2 linked regions of the Struthio camelus genome follow. The protein of the gene in region 1 purifies or fractionates together with the protein of each later gene. This does not show direct contact. Links are inferred from orthologs where the notes say so. Each region holds a gene or a part of one and is shown on either strand. Other genes may lie near its edges.

What was found.
Region 2: the proteins of TRIM33 (region 1) and SKIL purify together in Homo sapiens (affinity purification with western blotting; 4 studies listed by BioGRID and IntAct, with this or other methods). This does not show direct contact. The link is inferred for Struthio camelus from reciprocal best matches to the Homo sapiens genes TRIM33 and SKIL.

Annotation. Positions count from the first base shown.
Region 1 is NC_090965.1:10,032,172-10,043,933, forward strand, and holds the start of TRIM33 (E3 ubiquitin-protein ligase TRIM33), read right to left. Parts: upstream 5,614-11,762; coding exon 5,148-5,613; intron 1-5,147. Other genes in the region: BCAS2 (pre-mRNA-splicing factor SPF27), read right to left, coding at 6,513-6,639, 7,224-7,304, 8,530-8,580, 9,706-9,867, 9,963-10,033, 10,114-10,206, 10,287-10,379; DENND2C (DENN domain-containing protein 2C), read right to left, coding at 10,641-10,672, 11,115-11,201, 11,517-11,756. UniProt on the Homo sapiens protein: Acts as an E3 ubiquitin-protein ligase. Promotes SMAD4 ubiquitination, nuclear exclusion and degradation via the ubiquitin proteasome pathway. According to PubMed:16751102, does not promote a decrease in the level of endogenous SMAD4.
Region 2 is NC_090950.1:27,915,580-27,927,707, forward strand, and holds the start of SKIL (ski-like protein), read right to left. Parts: upstream 5,842-12,128; 5' UTR 5,662-5,841; intron 5,406-5,661; exon of another isoform or gene 5,353-5,405; intron 4,861-5,352; 5' UTR 4,008-4,860; coding exon 2,901-4,007; intron 1-2,900. UniProt on the Homo sapiens protein: May have regulatory role in cell division or differentiation in response to extracellular signals.

The sequences.
Region 1 (11,762 bases):
GCTTTTTTCTTCTCTGAGAAGTGGAGAGCAGAAGGGAAGGGGTCATAAATCCTCCAAGTGTCTTGACATATTTGACTCTTAGTTTGAAATCTAGGAAGTCTTTCCAGTAGGGCAAAATGAAATTCAAAGTACCTCTCTTCCAAATGGTTGGTCCAGGAATTGAGCCCAAACACTGCTTTATTTCCAAATATCCTTACTTACACTCTAAAATTTTTATTTTTGTTGAACATTCAACTCCTTTAACATGAACTTCTGGATGATTGGCCTGTAAGATGAAAATCAGGATCAATTCTTTAGTTGCCTCATGATATTACAGAAAACTAAGACCTTAAAATAGGAATTAAAAAAAAAATAACAACTTTGATCTCATTTTAATATCCTAAAATAGAACGTTTAAAATATCTTGCAGACAACAAGTTGAACAGGTGGCAGCAGGATGCCCTTGCAGAAAAGCAGGCCAACCACACCCTGGGCTGCATGAGCAGGTACAGCCAGCAGGTCCAGGGAGTGGTCCTTTCGCTCCATTCAGCACTTTGGGAAACCACACCTGGACACAGGGTGCAGTGTGGGACACCGCAGCGCAGGGCAGACACCGACACGTGGGGGCAAGCCCAGCAGGGGCCCCCAAGCCAGCGAGGGCTGAAGCCCACAACACAGGAGAGGCTGCAGGGAACAGCCTCGTTTAGCCTGGACGGGGGGACCCGGCTGCTGTCTACGGCTACCAGACTGGGGGGGGGGGAATGCACTGAAGACTGACTCAAACCAAATCCTCCTAGAGGTGCACCATGGAAGGGATCAGCAGTAACAACATGAGCTGGAGCAAGGGACACTGTGAAGCTGCCATCCTAGTATATAGTCAAAACTCAACTGGACAAAGCCCTAAGCAACCTCCTCTACCTGGACCTCTTTGAGCAAGAGGTTGGGCTAGAGACCTCTGGAGGTCCCTTCCAGCCTATGTGATTCTGTGATCTTTCAAGAATATTCATTTTAAAGAAATGACTTAGATTTTCTGTTGATACTAATGAGACATCACCTCAATTAGCACTAGACTAAAACTCTACCAAGGCGTCCCCTGACAATCAAGCCTTCAACCTTGCATAATCCTAATTAACGTTTGAGAGAACAGGATCATTTTAGACATCTGTTCTTAAGCATACATATCTGCTTTGGGTTGAAAAGTGTCAATGCAAAAGTACTGAGTGAATAAAAGTAAATTCAAAATCCCTTCAGATGTTTACATTGCGATAATGACGATAAAAAAGCTTCACACTTCAGGAAATATTTGCAAGCACTTCTGTGATCTAATAACTGAAACTTCCGTTTTAAGTTAAATTTGGCATGTATGCAGTCCTCTAAGGAATGAATCTCTACCAGGTTTCACTTACTGGTTGCAAACACCAACAGTAGTTACTGCACATGCATAATATTCACTTCCCTCAGCAATTTGAGTGTTCATCAGATATGTATTTCCGAATAGCCACACATCAAAACATCTGTTCTAGTTTCACTAGTCAGACAGTCAAATAAATTCACACAGGTCAAACAAGTGGCACAATCTATCAAAATACATTTCAAAAAAAAAACTACTTTGAAGCTCTACTCCTAACTCAGCTTCTTCACTTTTTTTAAATCAAACAATGCCTACTTTTATCATAACTGTCATGAATGGAACTGGTAACATATCATACTTAATATAGAAAAACAATCTGTAGCAGTCACAGACATCAATTCTAGCGCTATTATAAAAATAACAGGTGCCTAGAGCATACTCAAACAAAAACATTATATTAAAATACACTATTAATATAGACTGAAATTTATATTTCAGACAAAGATTTTTAATACCTCCAGAATATGAATTGAATATTTTTCAGAACTCTACCTCTGTTGTGCTCCAGCATATATTTATGTCCCTGTCTCACCAACGCAGAAGAAAGCCATGAAGAGTCAAAAGAGCTCAGGTACAGGAATGATGCTGGATTGTGCTGACATTCACTGAAAATAAGACTGGAGGCATTTGCATAGCTTAAGCAGTCCATTCAAAGTGGGAATTTTCAACTTTCCTGACTGAAAATACAACAACTACTACCAAACTCAGATTAAGTTATATATAAATTATATCATGTCTGTGAGAACGTGATGTATCCCCCCTTCCAAAGCAAATAAAAATAGAATTACTGCATAATTTAAGATGGGACTTAATATAATTTTTCTGAACACACACTCTACATATGGGAGTCGAATTCAGCATTTCAAAACAATTTACAATACTATATATTACAGCACTCCCAGTATTAAACGTATTGTTGCTCTACTTATACATACACACACATAAATCCATTGTCTACGTTTTCTGTAAGCTCTCTGAAAGTTATCTTGTAGCTCATTTTCTACCTTTTCAGCAGCCTAATGAAGGCCTGCCAGATTGTGACATTCACAAGGAGCTGGGAGAACCACACATTCTCTTTACTGAGATAATCTTCTTAAGAAAGATTGTAAATACCTCTGTGAGGCAGTGAAATTTCAAAACAACCTATCTTCCCAGGAATAAAAACAGTAAGTGCATTAAAAAGTTGCTTTGCAGTCTCTTTAATTTTCTAAAATCTCTAACTTAAAAATATTCATTTTTCAGAATAGTGTAATACCTAACAGAAGGAGGCATTTTCTTTTAGGTTTCTATTCAAACTAAAAGAAATAGTCTAGCTGGACAGCTGATACAGCAGATAGTGAGAATTCAACTCTCTATCCAATAAAATGCATACTTTAATGACCTATAAAGTCATTAAAATGAATAAGAGATACTATTTTTCTTCTGTATTATTACAACATAGAAATTTCTAAGTGATCTTCAACATAAACATATACCACAGCAAAGCATTTCATTCAGCAGTGCAACAGGTAGGAAACCACCAGTTACTTCTCATACTATAGCAAACCAGAACTTTGGAGAATTATTTTTAACTTTGGTCAGTGTTTCTCAGACTTTTAGGAACCAAGACCATTTTTCTGTCCTCGACAGTAGTATCCCTCAAGGGCGAGACAATGTGGTAGGAGAGGAGATCCTCGTATGGACCCGTTGCAATTACTGCCTCCAAGCATCTTTCCTGTTCTCTCTGCGAGAGCAGCACACTGCCGTCAGAGCTGCTATGTAGGTACTGACCTTGCACTCAGCTCCTGGTAGGCAGCTTCCACAGTTACTATCCAATAAATATATATATATTTAGTATTTTAAGTAGTGACAGTTCTTAAGGAGCAAAACCTGAAACTAAATTAAGAAAGTAACCAGAAAAATACCAGGGAAAAAAAAAAAGCCACAGCAGTTTTTCAAGGCATCTGTAATTCTTTTATCTAGCTGTAGAGTACCTGAAAAATAGCAGGCAGTTTTAGATGCATATAAAATAGTACAGCATATAATCCAGCAGTGAGCGCCTGCAGGTAAGTGTAACCTGCTTCAGGTATAGCTATAGGTATCATTTCCCATTAATCCTTCCTTCAGGAAAACAGTATTTGCTTACAGCAAGGTAACAAAAGCCTTTAAAAACTAGAGAATTACATTTAAAAGTTAGGGAAAGTACAGAAGCAGCAGAAGTGAAAGTAACACTAGGATTCCTGACTGACATAATCTATGCCAGCTGGGAAGGAATCCACATGACTGAGCGACGCAGTACTTCTCTGTAGGTTGAGAACGTCCACTTTTACCTCATTTTCCTGTAGAGCGTTTCATTCGCCATCCAACTGATTCCACTGGCAACATGCAGAGAGAGCTGTCTACAAAACAGCAGTTTTATCTGCAGTTCTAGCTGGTCAATGCTTTGTTCTCAAGTGACTCACTGGACTAATAAATCTAATCATACAGACTTACATACCATCACAGTTGGACCATCATTACCTACATGCACATCTTGCTCAGGCCGGCTAAAAGTTCTTGATGAACCAATCAAACGCTGAATACTTATGTCACCAAAGCACACAATCCAGCGTTCTTAAAACGTGTACGATAGGAACCGATATTCCAGTTAATATTTACTTCAGAAGTTGCAATTCATTTTTTTTCCTGCATCTGTACCTTAACAGACATGTTCCTTTAATGCCACTTATTCCTAGAATATAAACCTAGCTTCGCCGCTCCTGTATCTTTTAATATATACATCATGCAAAATGCAGAACTAGACCTTAACAAAAGGGATCATAAGACCAATCAAGTGCTTTAGTCAGCCTGTTTAAAGTACATTTAATATATCATCTCTTTAAAACTGATGGACCTTCTAAGACCATATCCCAGAGGAACAGTTTCTGAACATTTTGTATAAAAGGACCACTACTACTCCAAGTTAACTCCTTACCAACACACCACTGAGCAACATAGGAAAGACTCGAGTTGTTGCTAAAACCAGAAAGATGTCGCCAAATAGGGTCCCTTTGACCACAGGGACCGGTTAAGAGCTACAAAACCACTTACCAGGGCCCTAGTTCGGTCCGTAGACTACAGCATGTGAATCACTCTACTAAAAGCTCTGGAAGCTTTACAATTCCATCTCTGAACATGAAAACAAATACAAAAAGTCAAATTCCAGTTGTGATTTCAACAAAAGGATGTGGAAAGAGAAGACTGTACTTGTCCCATAGCACAATACCTGTGTATGCACAGAGCACAGAGGCAAGGCAACCGATAAGTAAGGCTATGAGTGTTTTAACTACACACACAGGAAGCTGGAAACACGTATCTGGAAGTAGGTGTACTACACATACCACTTCTCATTGAGCACATAACCCTATACCAACAGTGAACCAAACGTCACTTAGACAAATTTTTTTTCAGGCGCTGTAGAAGCGAACAGTCGAGCATCTCATGGATATGCCTCTAACATAGCATCCCTGAAAGTCAAAACAAAACACGCAACCCGATTTACGCTACCATTCCCAAATACGCAGACCAACTTCCAAGTCTCGGCCGTGACTCGGAAACACGAAGCACGCCGCATACGCGTGTCGTGAGGATTACGGCAACAGAAACACCGGCGATCGCGTACGAAATCTCTCCGGGTCTGGCCAGGCAGGAAGCCGGGGCGAAGGCAGGACTCGCCCCGGGGACGCCCGGCCGCCGGGGAAGGCCGGCCGGCGAGGGAGCAGCGCGGGGCGGCGCTCACCTTGCTGGATGTCGCCGTTGGCCCCGCCGGGCACGGGCACGCTGAGCTGCCGCTCGGGCTCGGGCAGGCAGCGCCGGCAGAAGGAGTGCAGGCAGGGCAGCAGCTTGGGCTCGGCCTCGCGCCGGCTCTGCAGGCTCTGCGCGCACACGGCGCAGGTGTCCAGCAGCGAGAAGGGCCCCGGCGCCGCCGGCGTCAGCGGCGGCACGGGGCTAGGGCCCGGCCCCGGGGCGGCCCCGGGCCCCGCCGCCGCCTCGGCCTCCGCCTCCCCGGGACCGCGCTCCGCTGCTACCGCCGCCGCCGCCGCCGCCGCGCCCGGGCTCTCCCGCTCCTCGGGCGGCGCGGCGGCGGGCGCGGGCGGCGCGGCGCCCGAGGGGGACGCGGCGGCGGGCTCCAGGCCGCCGCCTCCGCCCGGCCCAGCCTCCGCGGCCCCCTCCCCACCGCCGCCGCCGCCTTTGTTTTCCGCCATGTTTCCTCCTTTGAACCCAACTCCCCGCTCCGCGCACGCACCGCTCCGCGCCTGCGCGCGCGCACGCACGCACGCACGCACAGCGTCACCGCGCGCCGCGGTGGGGAGGCGGGCACGCGCCCGAGGCGGCGCAGGCGCGGTCGCGGCGTCCCGAAGGCGGCGCGAGGAGCGCGCGCTCTGCCTTAAGGGGGACGCCCGGAGAGACGAGGCGTGACGTAGCGCGACGAGGGCGGCGCATGCGCCTGGCCCCCGGCGGGGCGGGCAACCCGGTCGCGGCGTGAGCTCGCCGCGACGTCCGATTGGCCTGCGGCAACGGTCCCCCAGCCAACGGGCAGCGGGGGCGGGCCGCCGCGCACCGCCCTCCCCTCCCCCCGCCCCGGGAGGCGGGAGCGGCGGCGGCGCGCGGCTCCTGAGGGCCCCGCGCCAGCTCCGGGCAGCGCCACAGGCAGGTGCGGCCCCCTCACGGCCCGCCGCCCCTCAGCCGGCCCCGGCCCCAACAGGCGCCAACAAGAATAGTGTTAAGGGGTTTTATTTGGCAGAGTCTTTTGCCTGACACGACTCGAGTTGTTTTGTGACATCGCAGCAAAGGGCATACAAAGAGCAAAAGGAGGTTTAGTTCAGGCCTTGGGAAAAATGCAAAAACATGAAACAATTCTAAGAACCACGGCACCGTATATAAAATGTGAAATAATTCACAGTACACTTAACTGTGCTTATAATATACTTGAACAATATATTCTGAGTCTTCCTCATTTTCTAGGAGGAGGTAGGGTCAACAACACTTAGAAAGGTATTTTTTCCATCACCTTACACAACTGCAATTAGCGGTCTAAAAACACGTAGCATCTTCAAATACTGCAGCATATTTTAAAACAAGTAAAACAGTAAGGATTAAACCCTCAGAAGTCTTGCTGGATGTTCTCCTTGTTTGCTTCCCCATGCTGTTGTTTGATCTGTGAAATTTCATTTTCTAGCTGCACAATAGTTCGTTCAATCTCATAATTTTTACTGACAAGAGACACCCATCTGGAAGAGAATAAAAACAAAAAGCCTTTAAGTGGTATTTGCGCTTAAACAATCCCCCTTTTTAAAATCAGAGGAACACGTTAGTTATTGATTCAAAAAAAAGTGAAGACGCTAAATACAAAAGTATTTTTCTCAGTAGATAATAAACCTCTGTTGACATCAATGGTAATTTGGACAACTAAAGCGACAAAAGTTAAACCTTAACTCTCTTAGGTTAAGGTTTAGCTTAGCTCTGTTAAACCTTAACATACAAAACTTCACATACTAGGTTATAAGGAAAAAAAGGCTCAAAAACATTGACTTCCAATATTTAGATAAAGAAGGGTTTAAGAAACAATTTACACAGGCAATTTCAAGGACCTAATATGCCCTACTTCTCACATCTGTTGCTCACTGTTTCATTCAACCACAATAACTATTATGTGGAACTGAATCATGCATCCTTTAAAAAAACTTTGTATGGAGAACTAGTATTCCCGTGAAAACATCTTATGAGAGCACTGAAAGACTATTGACGTTCTCCAAGAATTTCACACAAAAGATATACTTATGGAAGATTTAAAGTAAAAATTCTAGATACTCACGTAGATTCCATTTCTCGTAGCTTAGCCCCAGCCGTGAGCTGCATGTTCTTTCGTTGCCAGTTCAGATCTTGAATGTTTTTCCTGAGGGAGAAAAGATTATATTCTTTGCTTTCTTTTTTTTTTTTTTTTTTAATTTGTAAGATCTACTGTTAAATCTTGAAATACACCTAAACCCTAGAAGTACTACCAGAAAGCACTTGTGTAGCCAGGATCCTAACTACCACATACAGATGGAAAAAGCCTAGTACAGGGCTGCACACAGAACCACAAAATAAGTTTAAGGAAAAAAAAAAAATTAACATCCTACTATGAACAAAAGTTCAAAAACTCAAATCTTCTGCTACAGCAGGAAATGCAAAAGCTGGCCGAGCCCAGAGCCCAGCAGCTCTGTTTTGTTCTCTCTGGAAAAGGTCAGAAGAGCTAAGCTGATCTGCTAACCATTCACGATATCCAGTAATTCAGTGAAGCACCCGAGAAGTGCCGAATACTTCCAACCACTCAGGAGACCAAATTAATTTTAGTTCATGTTGCTAAAGCTCTTATTCTGTTAGCCTCCTTTTTCTGCCTCAGTGTGTTCCTTTAGCCTTTCCCAACTCAGGAATCCTCCTTCTATCGACTCTCGCACTGATTCCCGCACTGATTCTGTCCAAGACGCTAACTCCAGCTAACCCAAAGAAGCAGGTAATGATAAAAGATACAACTTGCTATGCAACCTGGTTTTCTATGCACATCTCAGTATGCAGTCCCATCTTCAGGTTGAAGATACTGAAAATTACAGTAGTTCACCTGAATCCGAAAGCTGAAAAGCTCTTATTTGCATAGTCCATAGCATCCTGCCTAAATAAAATGAGTTACTAACGTGCACCACTTTGATATCCTACTACTCCATCAGTGAGCAATCCCTGTCTATTAACTCATTAAAGCATTCACTTTTAATTGAGAGGCCAAACTTAACCTCAGCCAGCATGTCTCCACTGAGACAACTGCATACCAAACAAAGGTCTATTAACAGTGAAAACAAAACACGACGGAGTTTGAGAGAGGATCCCACCACAATTCATTCTGCTCGATCCTCCACAATTCATTCTGCTCGAAGCAGAGGTTCACACACACACACACAAGGCAGAACAGGTATTATAAAGATAAGTCTGGGGCGGGGCAGGGGGTAGACCCCCCCCCACTTACTATTCTAGGTCGTCTTTCCTGACAGTGGCAGCAGCATACACACAAGCCTCTCTGCGTAGCTACAGGAGGAATTCGTATTCCTTCCATCTTCAGTACAAGACTATGAAAAACAATGACTCACCTCAACTTCTGAAGTTCTTTCTGGGCTTGTTCTATCATATGAACCAGGTGCCTAATAGCAGAACAGTAAGTACAGTATGAGGAAAACACATATTCACCCATTTAACCTACCGTTTAAATCTTCAGAGTTAAGCAAGGAACAAGCTGGTAACAGTGCAAATATCAGACAATCTGTTCTCAGTGCAGTCTGTGCTCTTCACTCCCGAGGAGCATGACACGTAACACCTCAACGCTTCTGTAGTAATATACGCAATTTAAGACATAAATCTTCAATAATTACCACGTTCACCCCTTGCTATCAGATAATCATAACATAAAGCTAAATCCATCAGTTAATCACGTTCTACCTTCAAGCTTCTCACTGAATACTTGTGCTATTCTGATTAGAATACTGTTGAAACATTTCATTACCTCATCACCAAGTAATAAAATATGGTCTTCTAATTCTATTAGGTCTTAAACTTACCTGTAACCAATTTATATCATTTTTTTCCCCTCATATATTGTCAGAGCACAAACAATTCTTTTTCTCTCCCCAGCATATTTATAAAAGTTAATGTATCCTCTTCCTGTCTCCTTTTTCCCTAAGCTAAACAAACAACCCTTTGCTTCCTCTCAGAAAGCTACATGTTCCTTTTGCCTACACCTTAATTGAAGCTTAAGCTAACTCTTCTTAAAAACAAGTATTAAAAATCCCTGCCTGAAATAGCCTAAATGATTCCTCCAGCCCTACTTTCTAGAGCTCTATTCAGCTTTTGCCACAGCTTTATTTCACAAATGGCTCCAGGCCAAACAGGAGTGGTAGCACATCTTGGTTTCCAGCTGCTGAATTACCATTTTAAAGATTGTTGCAAGTTGGTTCAGCTATCTGCAATATAAGTCCAAAAGCAACCAACTGCTACCCAAGCAATAACTCACGAAATTCAAGACTTAAGATGTACTGAATTTAAGAGGTACAGGCTATTTCTAGGCCACGAAGGCTATTTCTAGGCCACGAAGGAGGGCTCCTCAGATCACAGCTGTTTCTTGCACGTAGAGTTTTCTCAGAGGAATTCTGCAGTGGTTCCAGGATATGTTCATGAGATTCTCGTTGTAGTTACACAGAAAAGCATGAGGAACACATGGAAAGTGAAGTTACAGCTGTAAGCAGGTTCAACAAAGCAGCGAAACACCTTACTCGTTGTAGACCTTCCAGGCATTGCAGCCGTGCTGAGACATGAGCTCCAGGTTCTCGATGCGGACGGCCTGGTGCTCCAGCTGCGCCATGGAGTTGTTGACGCACTCCTGCCAGGCCGTGATGTCGTTCTTCTGCCCGGAGGAGGGGGCCGGCAACTCGTACCTGCAACGCACCGCGCCGCCCGCTCAGCTCGGCCTGGCACGCAGGGTCCGGGCCGGCCGGGGGGGTGGCCGGGGGGCCGGCCGGGGGGGGCTCACCTCTTCATGCTGAGCAGCTCCAGCGGCTGCCGCGCGGCCAGGCGCTCGAACTCGTTCCGCATGATCTCGGTCTGCGGGGACACGGCGGTGAGGCGGCGGGGCCGGGGCCGGGGCCGGGGCCGGGGCCGGGGCCGGGGCCGCCGCTCCTCACCTCGAAGGCGCTGTAGTCGTGCGCAGGCAGGTAGCTGAGGTAGTTCTTCGTCGGCCGGTACCGCCGCGTCTCCTCCTCCACCAATGCGGCGGCCTAGCACACACGGGGACGTCAGGGAGCAGCGCGAGCGCGGCCGCGGCCCCAGCCCCGGCCCCAGCCCCAGCCCCGCTCACCGCCTCGCGGACGCCCGGCGCCTCGTAGCCCTGGTCGAAGTAGGGCAGCGCGTCCACTACCACATCGCCCGCCACCAGCCCCGGGCCCGACATGTCCGGATCCGCTCCGCTCTGCGCCTGCGCGCCCCGCAGAGCGCCTGCGCCGCGCCGCGCCCCGCCCCGCCCGCCGCCCACCCGCGGCGGCACGGGCTGCGCCTGGGGGGACGAGCGAGGGTTCGCCGGGGCCGGGTCGGGCCTCGCGGCTCGCGGCGGGCTCGGCCGGCAGCGCGCGGACGGTGACGGAGAGGCAGAGAGCAGCTTCCGGGTCAGGAGGCCGTTACTGAGGAGGCAGAGCGCGCCGGCGCCGCCCCGCAGTCACTTCTTCTGAAGAAATCGCATTTTGCTTCCTACAGAGAAAACAGACGGTTAGGACGCGGAGACGCTGCAGCGGCCAGCGGCGAACCCGGCCTCAAGGCAGACATTCGCGCGTGGCCGCCGCTGCCGGGAAAGAGGCGCATGCCCCTGCAGCGTGGCAGGCAGCTCTGGGATTAGACAGCTACCACAAACTGTATCGAGAGATGGAAAAGCTTGAAAAGCATATAAATATTATATAATTTATATTTAGTAAATATAAATATTTTATTTACATTAATTATATAAATTATATTTATATTTTTATCATTTTATATGAATATTTTAAAAATAAAAAATTACAAAGTGCTCAGCATAGGTCAAACAAGTAAAAGTGCATGAGGCAAAGAGTGCACTCTTTTGCTTAAAATTATTTGTTCAATAGCCATGTTTATGAAAAAAGATTATCCAACCAAAATACCAAAGCTGCCTCTTTACCAAGACTGCGAAGGATTTTGTTCATTCCACTTGGTCCAGTCTCTGGAATACTCTCCAAATACTCCAAGGCACGGACCTCAAAAAGACCTGGAGAAGAAAAATATCACTCAGCTATTCCCATTTCTTAGCACGTGGCATCTCAAATCATTAACAAGATTGTGAAAAGAAAATTGTGCCTGTAATATCAGCTGCAGGATCAAGCCTAGAGAGGAGACAGATACAAAAACTCTTTGCTTAACAAGATGCATTCTGCTGAGCCGTTAGACACCACATCTGCATTACATTTGCCCCGGGGGCAACAGGGTAACCTGCCAGGACAGAAGGCTCCTTAAGAATCAAAGTGATGCGACGTTATACTTTGAAAGTTACTTTGCAAAACGAGAAATTAGTATCAAACCTCACCTCTGACCATGCTCTTACTCAGCTCTCGATCTTGTATGAACCCTGCAAACATCTGTGTTTCCATGAACAAGTGCAGGAAGTGACGCACATTGCGTGACATATGAGATTTTCGGAACAACTCCCGCTGAAACACTCTCTCCCCTTTTTCTGTGACGTTCATGTGTAGGGAGTAGTGTCCAACAATCTCCACAAAGAAGCGCACAAAAGCTTCAGAGACCAGGGAGTTAAGAGGCATATCACCTGTGA
Region 2 (12,128 bases), on another chromosome or scaffold:
ATTAAAAAGAAAATCTCTGGTCCAGTTATTACGCACACTAGTAACTCAAGAGACCCTTCCTATTCCGGGAAAGCTTACTTTGTAGATTTCTTACCAGATTTGCCATGTGAATGAAAGAAAAAACTGTTACGTAGTTCAGTGCAAAGACAGTTCCATATAAATGGATAGGTAGTCCTAATCGTTAAAGCCAGTAGTTTTTCAGTACAGATAGGATTTACAGAAATATTCAGAAGAGATGTTAACTCTACCCATTGGGAGCATTTCCCCATGCATAACAACCAACTCAAAAGAATTAGTATAAGAAGCAAGACAGTGTAGTACAGAGTGATTATCAGAAACTGTCGCAAAGTCAAAGAGAAAGAGGATCTGACACCACAGAGAACATCAGAGATTTAACAAGAGTTGTTTCAATGAGAAGGTGGGTAGCACACTGCAGAGCCCAGAACTCAAGCGAAGATGAGAAACTCAGTGACAACCATACATACTACTTACAGCTTTTTTATTATCACGAAGAAGATAGAGGAATTAACTTTATAAGTATAGTAGGTGAGGGCCTAGGCTGTTTACTCTTAAAACACTGAGAGCAAAAGCATACTTATACTGTGAGGTGAGTAAACCTAGAGCTAAGGAGAAAGGCGATTTCACAAATAATTTATTATTACTACATTGGAGAGTCTTGTTTTCGCTTTAGGTCTTATTTTACAGACAAGCAATTATTTCCATCTCTTATTTTTCTCTCTAAAAGAGAGGGAGGGATAGAGAGTTGGCCAAGGACAACCGTTCTTCTTGGACCCTTCAAGATAACCTCAAAGATGTCTCAAAACTTCAGAGGATTTACTGCTTCTCAACAAAGAAGGTAAGAAGGTGGTAGAACAGCAAGTAGAATATCCTATAAATGCATTTGCTTAAGAGTATAAGAAAAGTATAAGAAAATGTCTATACGTTGTATCTTATACCTCTCATACCACAGAAGCCAGGAAAAGACAAGACTACTGAACAGCACAAGCTTCTCCAGTACAAGGGAACAGAGGCATTGTTCCAAACACTGCCCTATTAAATTCTTCTAATCTTTTGTACTTTCCAGGTGAATACCTATGAGACACTCCCTGCCCCACCCCTAAAAAAAGAATTAAAAAAAACCCACTTTTTTGTTTGTTCAAATTTTCATGGAGTTTATCTATCGTTCTAATTTCATGCGCTTCTTTATAAGAACTACGTGGGTCTGTAATGGAAGACACCATAAAGTGTTTCTCCCTTTCATACGGACCTGTTCAATAACATTATCTGTTCAAACAATAGCATAGGGGATGCAACAGGGGAAATAATCTTCCACATGCATTCCCAGAATACTGCTTTCGGTTTCACAGTAGCAGATTTCCGACCACGATATCTTTCATGTTTTTGAACTTCCTGTATACACATCAAAAACCAAGTGAAAAGATAATCAGTATCTCTTCAATGTCTACAACATGAAAGGTCTCATGGGGGTCAAGAGGGAAGACTATTTCCCCCCTTGTAGCCACTATGCTATTGTTTATTACCTATATTGGCATTACAAGAATAAAAACTATCATGATAGTCTATCAGATGAAAGTGAAGTCTCCTTGCTATGAACTTTGCTGCATGTCCAACTAATTCGGCATGTGAAAGCATGACAAATTGCAGACTTTTGTCAAAGCTGATCTGCTAAAATCCCTTACTGCAGACTAGCTTAACTGTAAAACTATCTGTTTCTGTAAGCCTTTCTGCAATACTAACTTTGGAGAAGTTTGTTCTGAAAGGCGCCAACTTTATACGCTCACCTATCTGGATTGCTTTTGCTGCTGCTGACTTTGAAACCCATGACAAAATATCCAACAGGCAAAATGGATATATAAGCAAAAGAGTAGTCAGCAAGCAGACCTATAAATGCCAAATACAATACAATTAAACATAGCGGTAGGGGAGGAACTATTTCAAAACCTCTAAGTTTAGATTATACCCAATAAAACTGTATATTCCATGCACGGAAATATCAGTGATGTCAGGACCCCAATGTTTCCCGATTTTCATCTAAAAATGGGGATGCTCCCTGAATCTCCCCTTAAAATCTTCTTCCTTGAGCAAAATAAAATTATTTCCCCGGTAACGTTCAATATTTACCTGGTGCGTGTCTTTTTATTTAAATTAGTAGCTCCCTGTGGTAAAGATAAGCTCTGTATTTTTGAAGTACTGTGCAGACTTGCAGCAGTATTTTAGGAAAAAACACAATGTCCATTATTAACAATTGTCAAGAAACTGGCCTACAGCTCATTACTTGGAGTGATTTAAAACCCCCTTTTTTGGCATATTTCTCTATACAACCTGTTCAACAAAAAGCTATTACCGAACAAGCAGCCTTGGCTTTTAAATAGCAACTTACCAATGCACCATTACCCTACATGCAAAGTCATGAGATGTTCCTGGGTGTTGAGCAAGCTAGGTAGCCATACACCACTCGTGTATGTGCTGGAGTTAAAATAACAATTGAAGAATTAATTTACAATACTTGATTTTCAAGTTCCTTTCTGCTTTGCTCAGCTGCTGCAACACACGTGGTTTAAAACAACATACTCAAAGGTCAAACAGAAGAAAGAAAATGTCCACAATAGCTCTAAATTTTCCAGAGATTGCATATTTAAAAAAAGAAAAAGAACCAACAAAACCAAACCAGCTTGAATGAAATTACTTATAGCTCAACGGGGAAAGAAATTACTGTACCTTTGAACCTGAGAAGTCTATTCGCCATGGTGGAGAACTCTCATAAATTTAACCGATACTTGATTTGACAAACATTCACATTTACAAAGACAAATAACACACTTCTAAGCTAAATATTTACTTGTTATCGGAAGGAAATTTACAAGAGTAAGTGAACTTACTTTGGACCGAGTTCTTTTCTGATTTTTCTCACTAAATTTCTCCTTCATTTCCTCCAAGAGATGCTTCAGTTCCCTCTCCTCCGATGTTCCTAAGTATTTTTGGTTAATATGAAGGTAGCAATGCCATTTGGCTGATTCAAAGCCCCAGTGACAGGTCCTTTTATCAGGGGATCTATGTGAATGCATCACAAACGTCTGGGGCGAAAACATTCCATAGCACTCCAAACACTGGATACAGGGATCATCCGGCTGCAGGTAGAACTGAGGTGCAAACAAACCCTGGCATTTGCCCAAGCACTCATGCTCTACTTCAAAGGCACTGCCAGACTCTTTCAACTGGGCCAATGTGCTCTTCGCAGGGAGAAAGCTGCCATTTTGAGGAAAAGTGCGAGGACGTAATAAAGCATTGCATAGTCTCTGAGCGTCAGTCAGCGTAATTAGCCCACAGGATGGAGCATTAAATGGAAGAATTCCCAAAACCTTCAGAATGTGAAGCTGGTCGGACGTGCACCTTGAGCAATATATATACAGCTCGTCACACACTGTATTAATCTGTTGCAATGAAAAGTCTCGGAGAACTGAATTCAAAACTTGCGGCAGGCAAAGTCTCTTTTCTCCTCCAACTTTAAAACAAGAAATAGATTCCCCCTCCAATATAGTCTGAGTGAGTTCTGTAGAGCTGTCTGGAGGAATGAGCAGTGGACCAGAAAGTATTTGCGGTGATGGAAGAGGCAAGAAGACAGTGGGTGACATACTTTCCTGGGAATAACGAGCTGAAAAAGCTGCTGGCCCTCCCAGTGAACTCTGGCTGCTTAAGTGGAACTGTGCCAGCGTGTGTTTCAAACCTGGATTTAAATTCAAAGGCTCAGATATTGAAGCACTGTTTGGCTTGGCGTTTTCCCCATCAGCCTCCACAGGAGTTTCATCATAGTCATCCAAGTTTTCCTTCTTTATTGTTGGCAGTCTATTTATTACAACTCGTACTTTGCTATTTACATGCATTTCTGTCATTACTTTTTTTATTGGAGGACTCTCATCCTCGTGGACCCCACTCCTTTTTTGGTCTGAACCTAGACCGAGATGGAAGTTTGTTTGCGGGCTTTCCATTGCTAAACGCTAGAACTTTTAAGCAAGCAAATCTAGAGTGTGCATTTTCCTGCTTGCTAATACAAAAATCAATTTTAAATGATCTTGACTACTTCACACACGCCAAGCTTTGCACTCCTTTCAGTAAGTTAATCCTTCAGCCTCCAGGAGCAAAAAACTGTAGCCCCTTTTGCATGTAATACCACAGAATTAAGAATGGAGAGGGTAAACAACATTTTCTTTTAGGTTTAAAAGTATTTGTCCAATTTTCTTTTATACAAAACACATTGCAATATGCATATACAACGATTTTCTTTGTAGCCTACTCAGTAGTTTGCACAGTAGTTTCGTATAGTCTTTCAGTAAAAAATGATGAGTTGATGCAAGAGCATCCATCCTCGGTCACTTTTTTCCCCTTTAAAAAGCATACTGGCTTTTCAAACAAGCCTCTTGTTTAAATACCAAAACAGAAAAATGCCCACAAGTCTCAGTCTGAAGAGCGTCGAACTCAGTGTAACTGATCCAAATAAAGTTTGGTTGTGTGAAAATTTTATTCGCCGCTTCTCCTTCAGTTGTCAGGGATCAAACACAAGCTTAAGGCCTTTATTTATTGGGCAGCCAAGTTTACGATTCCACCGCCACCACCACCACTAGAGTTACTATGGCAGTTCACCAATAAATCCCCAAATTAAAGGCTGATCCAGATTGCTGGCAAAAACTAAACGTCCCTAGAGAGTCACCTTTAGCACAGACGTCCCCGGTGTGTGCCTGGCTTTTCCCACCCCGAGTTATTAGCAATACAAATAAGATCCGGGCCATCAGCTAAATGCACATCTTGTGCTAATACACAGCTCTGTCAACCTCTCCTGATAACCTGTGAAAAGAGAGAGAGAGGTCATTAATAACCATTAATTCCCGAGACTAGAGTCTTCAAATACGAGCTCAACATATCAAACAAGGGACACGCTTCCTAATTAATTACAAAACATCAACGCACAGAGAGCTTTCGTTTAAAAACCAGAAGCCCCATCATAAGCCCCTGGCAGATGGGCGAAGCTGGCAGCGGCACCAGCCCAGCGCCCGCACAGCGCTGCGTGTAACGTGCGGCAAATCCCACAGGCGGGAGCGCGGCGAAGCGGAGAAGAGGAGAGGGAGGACGAGGTTTCTCTTTCACAGGGTGTGTGTGGGGGGGGGGGGGAACACTCGGGGGAGAAACGCCAACGCGGGCGGGCTACGAGCCCCCTCCCGCCGGGGCCGGGGGCCGGGGCCCCCCCTGCCGCCGCCGCCGCCGCCGCCGCCGCCGCCGCCGCCTCCCCCCCCTTCCCGGAAGGGCCCGGGCCGCCGCGCCCGCCGCTCCGTGACTCACCGGCGCTTCCCCGGCGCCGGCCGGCCCCGCGCCCGGCTCTCCCCTCGCCGCCGGCCTCAGCGCCCCGCGGCTGCCCGCTCCGCTCCGCCAGCTGCGGCTCCTCCCGCCGCCGCCCTCTCCGCGCCCGCCGCCCCCTCCGGCGCTAAATTTACCCCCCCCACCCCCGCGGGAGGAGCGGCTTCCCCCGCGCGGCGCCCCCACAGACGCCGCCTCCCCTCAGGCACGGCGCGCCCCTCCCCCGCCGACTCGGCCCCGGCCCCCGCCGCCGGGCCGAGCCCCCTCCCCCCCGGTGACTCCCCGGCTCCTCACCCGGCACCGCGGGGGCCCCGGCGCCCCACGAGCGGAACAGGAGCCGCGTTCGCGCCGCCCACCCGTGACCTCACTGCGGAGACGGAGACGGCGGCGGAGACGGCGGAGACGGCGGCGGCGGCGCGCGGGCACGAACCCGCCGGCGGCGCGCGCCGCCCCCGCCCCCGCCCCCCGCCGGCCTCAGCCGCCGCCGCCGCCGCCGCAGCCCCGCCCACTGTCTGGGGCCGCGGCGGGAGCGGGCGCCCCTCCCCCTCCCCCCCCCGCCTCACGCGCGCGCCAGCCGCTCCCTCAGACAACCCCGGGCGGCCCCTCCCCCCGCCCGCGCGGAGCCGCCGCCGCCGCCCTCACACAGCCCGCGCCGCGCCGCGCCGCGCCGGGGAGGGAGGGGAAACCTTCCTCCAGCCCTCGGAGAGCCGCGCCAGGGGAAGCCCTCCCCGCCCTGCCGAGGCCTCCCAGCCCGGCGCCGCCGCCGGCTCGGGCGGTTGGCGCGGCGCCGCGGGCTGCCCTCACACGCCCTGTCGCCGCGCAAAGCGGGAGGAGGAGGAGGAGGAGGAGGAGGAGGAGGAGGAGGAGGAGCGGCGCTGCCCGCCCGGCGGCTCGGCTCGCCCCGCCGCGGCTGCCCCGTCTCGGCCGTTTCCTGACGGCTCCCCGGGGCTGGTGGCGGCGGGGCCGGGGCTCGCCCCGGGTGCGCGGGCGGCGGCGCCATGTCAGGGCGGGCGGCGGGGACAGGGGAAAAAACGAGGGCGCAAACGGCGGGGAAAACGCGAGGCGCCTTAAAAAAAAAAAAAAATCCCACCTCTGCGGAACAGGAGGGCGGACAGGGCAGCAGGGAAACGCGATGGTGCCCGCCGGGGCTGCCCGCAGCGCCGCGGGCTCCTCACGAGGCACCGGGGCCTTCAGAAGAACGGCTGAAACGTGGGGGAGCGGGTCAAAAGATGGTTTTGGAGCCCCAGTCAGCCGGAAGCTGTGCGGTCACGGCCAAGAGGGGTTGACGTATGGAGCGTCTCCCACTTCGGTCCTGTCGCTGGCAGGGGAAGAAGCTGCTTTCCAGAGCCCGCTTAATCTCTGTACAGCTCGCGTACGGGGGACGGGTTTCTGCCGTACACAGCTGTTGTTACATGTTCCTTGTAAAGACATTTTGCCGCTTCAGCTGAAGGGCAAAATCCAGTTTGCCGTTGCCTTTAATCCTTATTTTGATGCAAAGGGAACGTAAAAAAAAAAGAAAAAAAAACATTAAAATGGCACAACTGCACAGCCGCTGCTGCAAGGTGTTTAACAGGACGAGGAGCGGGACCGGCCCAGCGCTGCCCGGCCGCGTTCGGGTTCAAGCTGAAGGCTAACAGCAAACAAAACCCCTCTTCTTGCTGAAGAGCATATTTAGCTTGATACACTTCAACTCTTGACTTTGGTTAGAGGTCCTCCGTGCAGGCATGGTTCACCCCTGTAAAGCTGCTTCTCGAATCACCTTTCAACTCTTAAAATACCAGGTCACTTGTGCTACCCACAACGTTTTCTTCTAATGACAATTGGCAACATATAATTTTTTTTAGATTTCTAAAAAAAAAAACAACCTCTCTAAATTACATAGCGCTTAATGTGTTTGCGCATAAGCAATTTGTGACTTTTCTCTTGTCAGCCCCGTGATCGGAGGTGTTATTTTATTTCCAAGCTTTGCCCTTGATGTTACTCTTCAGTGGTCACACATCTGTAGGCAGAAACCATCTTCCCATATGTTTGCACAGCAGCTAATGCAGTCATTAGGACGCGTGGTGCTTTATATTGCAAAAATAATAAATTGCTGACAGTTTAAACAGCAGAAGAGGGTTTAGAATAACTGTATAAACAGCTGCGTCTGGGCTTTTAACAATAACTCTGTGATCACAAAGACGATAATGGTTATAGTTATTTGCTAAAGCCTAGAGAAAACCACTTGACCTTTCTATTATTAAAGAATTCAGGTAGAGATGAAAGAATCAAAAATCCGAAATAGAGCACGACCTCAATTTTTACATTCGGCAGAAGGTGTCATCACAAGGATCGTTGTTTTACTGTTGCTGTTATTGTGGCACCCTCAGGCAGAAGTAAGGCTTTCCTACCAATGAAGAGGTACCACAAAGAAGCCTGAAGCATGTTGAAGCATGTGAACGTCCCAATTACTTGAAATTAAGAGCACTTTCTCAGCTCTTTGAAATAGACACACTTCACAGACACTTCGATGCCTATAGAAAAACGTAACTTGTCTTTTCATAGACTACAGAGAGAGCAGAGAAGGAAAAGGAAGGCATAAATTCCTGCCACTCCATATAGGCCAAAGTAAAGATGAAAGCTTTCCAAAAATTGGAACCAAGATTTAAACTTTGGGAAGAACACAAGTATTGGAGAAACTCATTGTTTGTCCCTTCAGTACTCCGCTTTTTGCCCTTTTCCATCCTCCTTGTGTTTCTCTGCTTTTATTATAAGCCACTAAAGATCGACTCAGCCATTCCTCAGGGAGCATTTAACATATTAACTACTACCATTATGGGGAGTACATTTTTCCTTACTTTAATTTACCCTACTATTTTCTAGCTCTTTTTGCCAGACTTCATCTCTGTAACTCCTCTATAGCAGCGGAATCTCAGCTGAAATCTGTACATATAAGAGCATGAGCAGAGGCTCATGCATGACTGAGTTTTATGGGCCGAAAGATAACCGAGACTGATGCCTCTGTACTGTCCAACCACTTGAGATTCACTGCAAATAGGATTCGTGTACTTAATTTTAAGTAAGTTTCACGGATCCAGGACCATAAACCTATTCTTGGTTCATCTTTGCACCTGAGTGAGTTTGATCTAATCCAGCAACACCCTGTGGTTAATAAACACACATCATGCCACCTCAATATGCAGTTTTATATCTAGTCTTTTTTACTTTTCAAAGTAGGGAAGTGTTAGAATTCATTTAAACATGGTTATAACATTGTGCAGTAATTTGCAGTACCCTGGTACTTCTCTAATGCTCTTCTCTAGCCTGCAGCAAAACAGAATTACGTAGGACTCTGCAAGTCTTGTCTCACCTTTTGGCTGCTATGTCAAACACAAGCTTTTGCAGCCTTAGAAAGAAAAAAGTTTTAAAAAGAGGAGGATTTTTTCATGTAATGATTCTGTGGAAGGATTTTATGAAGACTGGTATTTTTCTCCATTTATAGTTAAGCAAACAGTGCAAGATGCAGAGCAGCTGCAGGAGTACAATTGCTACCCTTACATGAAAACGAGAACTGCTTTTTTACAGGGCAAGAAGGGTGTGTATTACTGAGACGGAGGGAAAGTGATGGAGAAAATGCAAGAGTGCATTTATGTTTGATCTCAATTGCCTTTATTCTTTATTCTTCCACAGTAAAATGTCTGAGGCTAGGACAGCAAATAATTTTATGGAAAAGTACACCCATTCCGGAAGAGTACTAATACTCTGTACTTACTTATTAAGTAGATACGGGGCTTAATAGCCACAACATTTTAGTAGAATTAAAAAGGCTTCTGAATCTACCAGTTTGGGGGGCTGATCTTGAAAAACACTGACCAGTGATTCTATTATCTAAACATTCTGGACATTCCTATCTCTTTTCTACCCTGTAAGAGTCTAGGATTTGATCAAAAATTTCTCTCCAAATAGCCAACCATTGAAATGCACTGTGTCATATTTCAATTGTATATAACTCAAGAGCATGGAAGATTCATAGCATCGTACCTGCAATGATCGGAGGACATAAGCAAGACAACATTTGTAGGTGGATATTACACCTGCTGAGGGCACGTAAGCTTAGGAATTAGGTGTCATTGTTTAATTTGGGTTTAAAAATTCTGCACATTTTTCATTTCAAGCTGCAAATTTTGGTAACTACTGTGGTGAAACAGAAGTGTTGTTACAGCGCTACATCATCAGGCAGCATAAGACAACGTTCGTAGGTAGAAGATAGTCTACTAAACCGTGAACTCTACCTAGAGCCTTGACTGTCGACTATGAAAAGCACTTTGGTACCAGAGGTACGACGTAACTAAACTAAAATCTTACCTACAGATCTTTTTAGCACTGAAGAAATCGCACTAACAGAGCCTGGGAGGGATTTTACTTTTATTACTAACCTCTCTGGATTTTCAAGAGGTGCTCAAGTTTTTTGGAATCTTATTAAATTAACATTTAAGGTTGTCTTAAAATGTAACTCACATTTAGCACTTTCAGCTGCTTTGTTTAAACACCTTAGCTTTAAAACCAGTGCAACCCACACAGAATTTGTCTTTACTCTTCTAGGTCAGCTCCCAGAGAGAGTTATTTTAAAAGATAAAAACATCCTATTTTTACTTGACAACTAAGAAGTGACCACAAAAGTTTCATTTCCAGTTAAAATCAAAAGAGAGAGCCATAATAGTAAATAAAATAAACCAAGACGTTCCCCAGAAAATGTATCATTCCATATATTTCTAAAATAATAGTAAGCAGGACGCATTGAAAAATACATGCCTCCAAAATATCATAAAGCAAAGAAAAGTGTTAAAAAAGAGCTGTTCTTCCCTGACACTAACTGCTTTTAATTCCTTGCAGGCCACCTTTGACAGTCTCTGGTGGTGATGCCTCTTCCACACTAGGAAGAGAAGCAAGTGAGACAAACTAATCTGCATTTCTAAGGGCAGATTAAAAAAAAAAAAAATCCTTTAAACTACCGCATATAAAATGAAGTGCCAAATAACATATTAAGACTTAAAATAAAATGATCTTTCAGTTAAGCCGGTTAACACAGATACTAACTTGTTGTCAAACTGCTAAATGTGTAAAGAATTTTGTCACACTTTTATGAATAAGACTCAAGCTGCACATTTATGAGCAAATGGGATTTTCTGTAGGAAGAGAAAGTTAAGCATTTGTTTTAATGTTCCTTTCCATACATGCCATCTCTGAAGTTATTAAAGAGTAAAATTTAACACTGTCCAAAACACAAAAATTATGTTTTCTTCTCAGAAGACAGGAGCATGTACATTTTACACAGATAAAAGTCATTTTAGTGACAACGGTATAATACTGAAGACCAATCTTAATATATTTGTGAAACGTACTACGACAGATTAAGTAATGCAGATATGATGTATTACAGATACCCTATTACAGACCTTATTGTAAAAGAAAAATTGATGGATTTTTGCACGTTCAGTGTCTTACGGGACAAGTTATGGAAGAGTTATGGAAACAGGTACGTACAAAACACTACATCTAATAAAGAATTGAATCTATGATTTAGTTTCTACATCTAAAATTGTGGTCAAAATTCAGCTGTTTCGCCAGAAGTTTGTTGTGTAGACACGACTTTAAAAGGGACACAAGCCGAGACACTTTCTTCAAGCTTAAAAGCCAAATACAGACACAACAGATTTCTGGTTCTATTTACATCTAAAAAAGCCCACCTCCCACAAAAGCCACACAGATCCAGAAGATAAATGCCTTCTCAGCCTTTTATCTTTGGTGATTAAATGCATAGTGACAAAAAGCATGCATCTCAAGTGTGCAGTTTGGATCCCTTTATTTTAAATCATAATCAGAAAAAAAGTCTTAAAAAAACTTAATCATTTGAGCTCTTGTCAAGAAAATACAAGATGTGGTAACATCCTCTTCTGAAAAAAGGGGCTCCAATCCCTCACTCTGCCTTCTCAGGAAAACATCATTAATCTATAGGCAGTTTCACATACCTGTCTTGCCTAAACTGCGTAATTATGAAGTCCATCATGAAGTGAGAATGCAAGATTAGTAATTAAGTTACCATGTACATACAGTTTATACAAGCTTTTTTTTTTTTTTTTTTTAAAATAGTGTCTTAATATAAACAACTGCTCAGACTGAACAGACAGCAGTTGGCCACCCAACCGAACAGGAACAAGAAGTGTGCGTGTTGGGAGGTTAGGTATTTAAGACATGCAACCATCTGTAGCATTTATCTAGGAATGCTGATACATACTTCCAATAACAAGCCAGCTTGCAAAGGGAAATCTCTTTTAAAATATAAATGTACAAATACTAAAATACAGCTACACTAAAACACCATATGTGTAACAGCATTGGTAAGTGCCCTTGCCCTCTGTGCCATAAATCTGAGGGAACGTCGGGGAGGAATTAGAGAAACAAAGGGAGAAATCATGCAGAAATAAGCATAACAGATGCAATGTTGCTGTAAACTCCAAAGCCCCAGCTCTCACAGCTGAGATGACATCTTAGAAGCTCCAGCTAAAAGAGGTCTTTGGTCAAACAAGCTAGAATTGCATTGTGTATTTTACTTGAAGCCTTTTGCATCTACACAGCTTACTGAAAGCCTCACTAAGTTAGCTTTCTTTCATCACTGGTGTTGGAAGGAAAGCTAAATCAATACAAAACCTATCATGATGCTTTTTCTCCATAGAGAAAGATTAAGTGAGGCTGCCTAAGCCTATTAGAGGGGAGCCTGCATT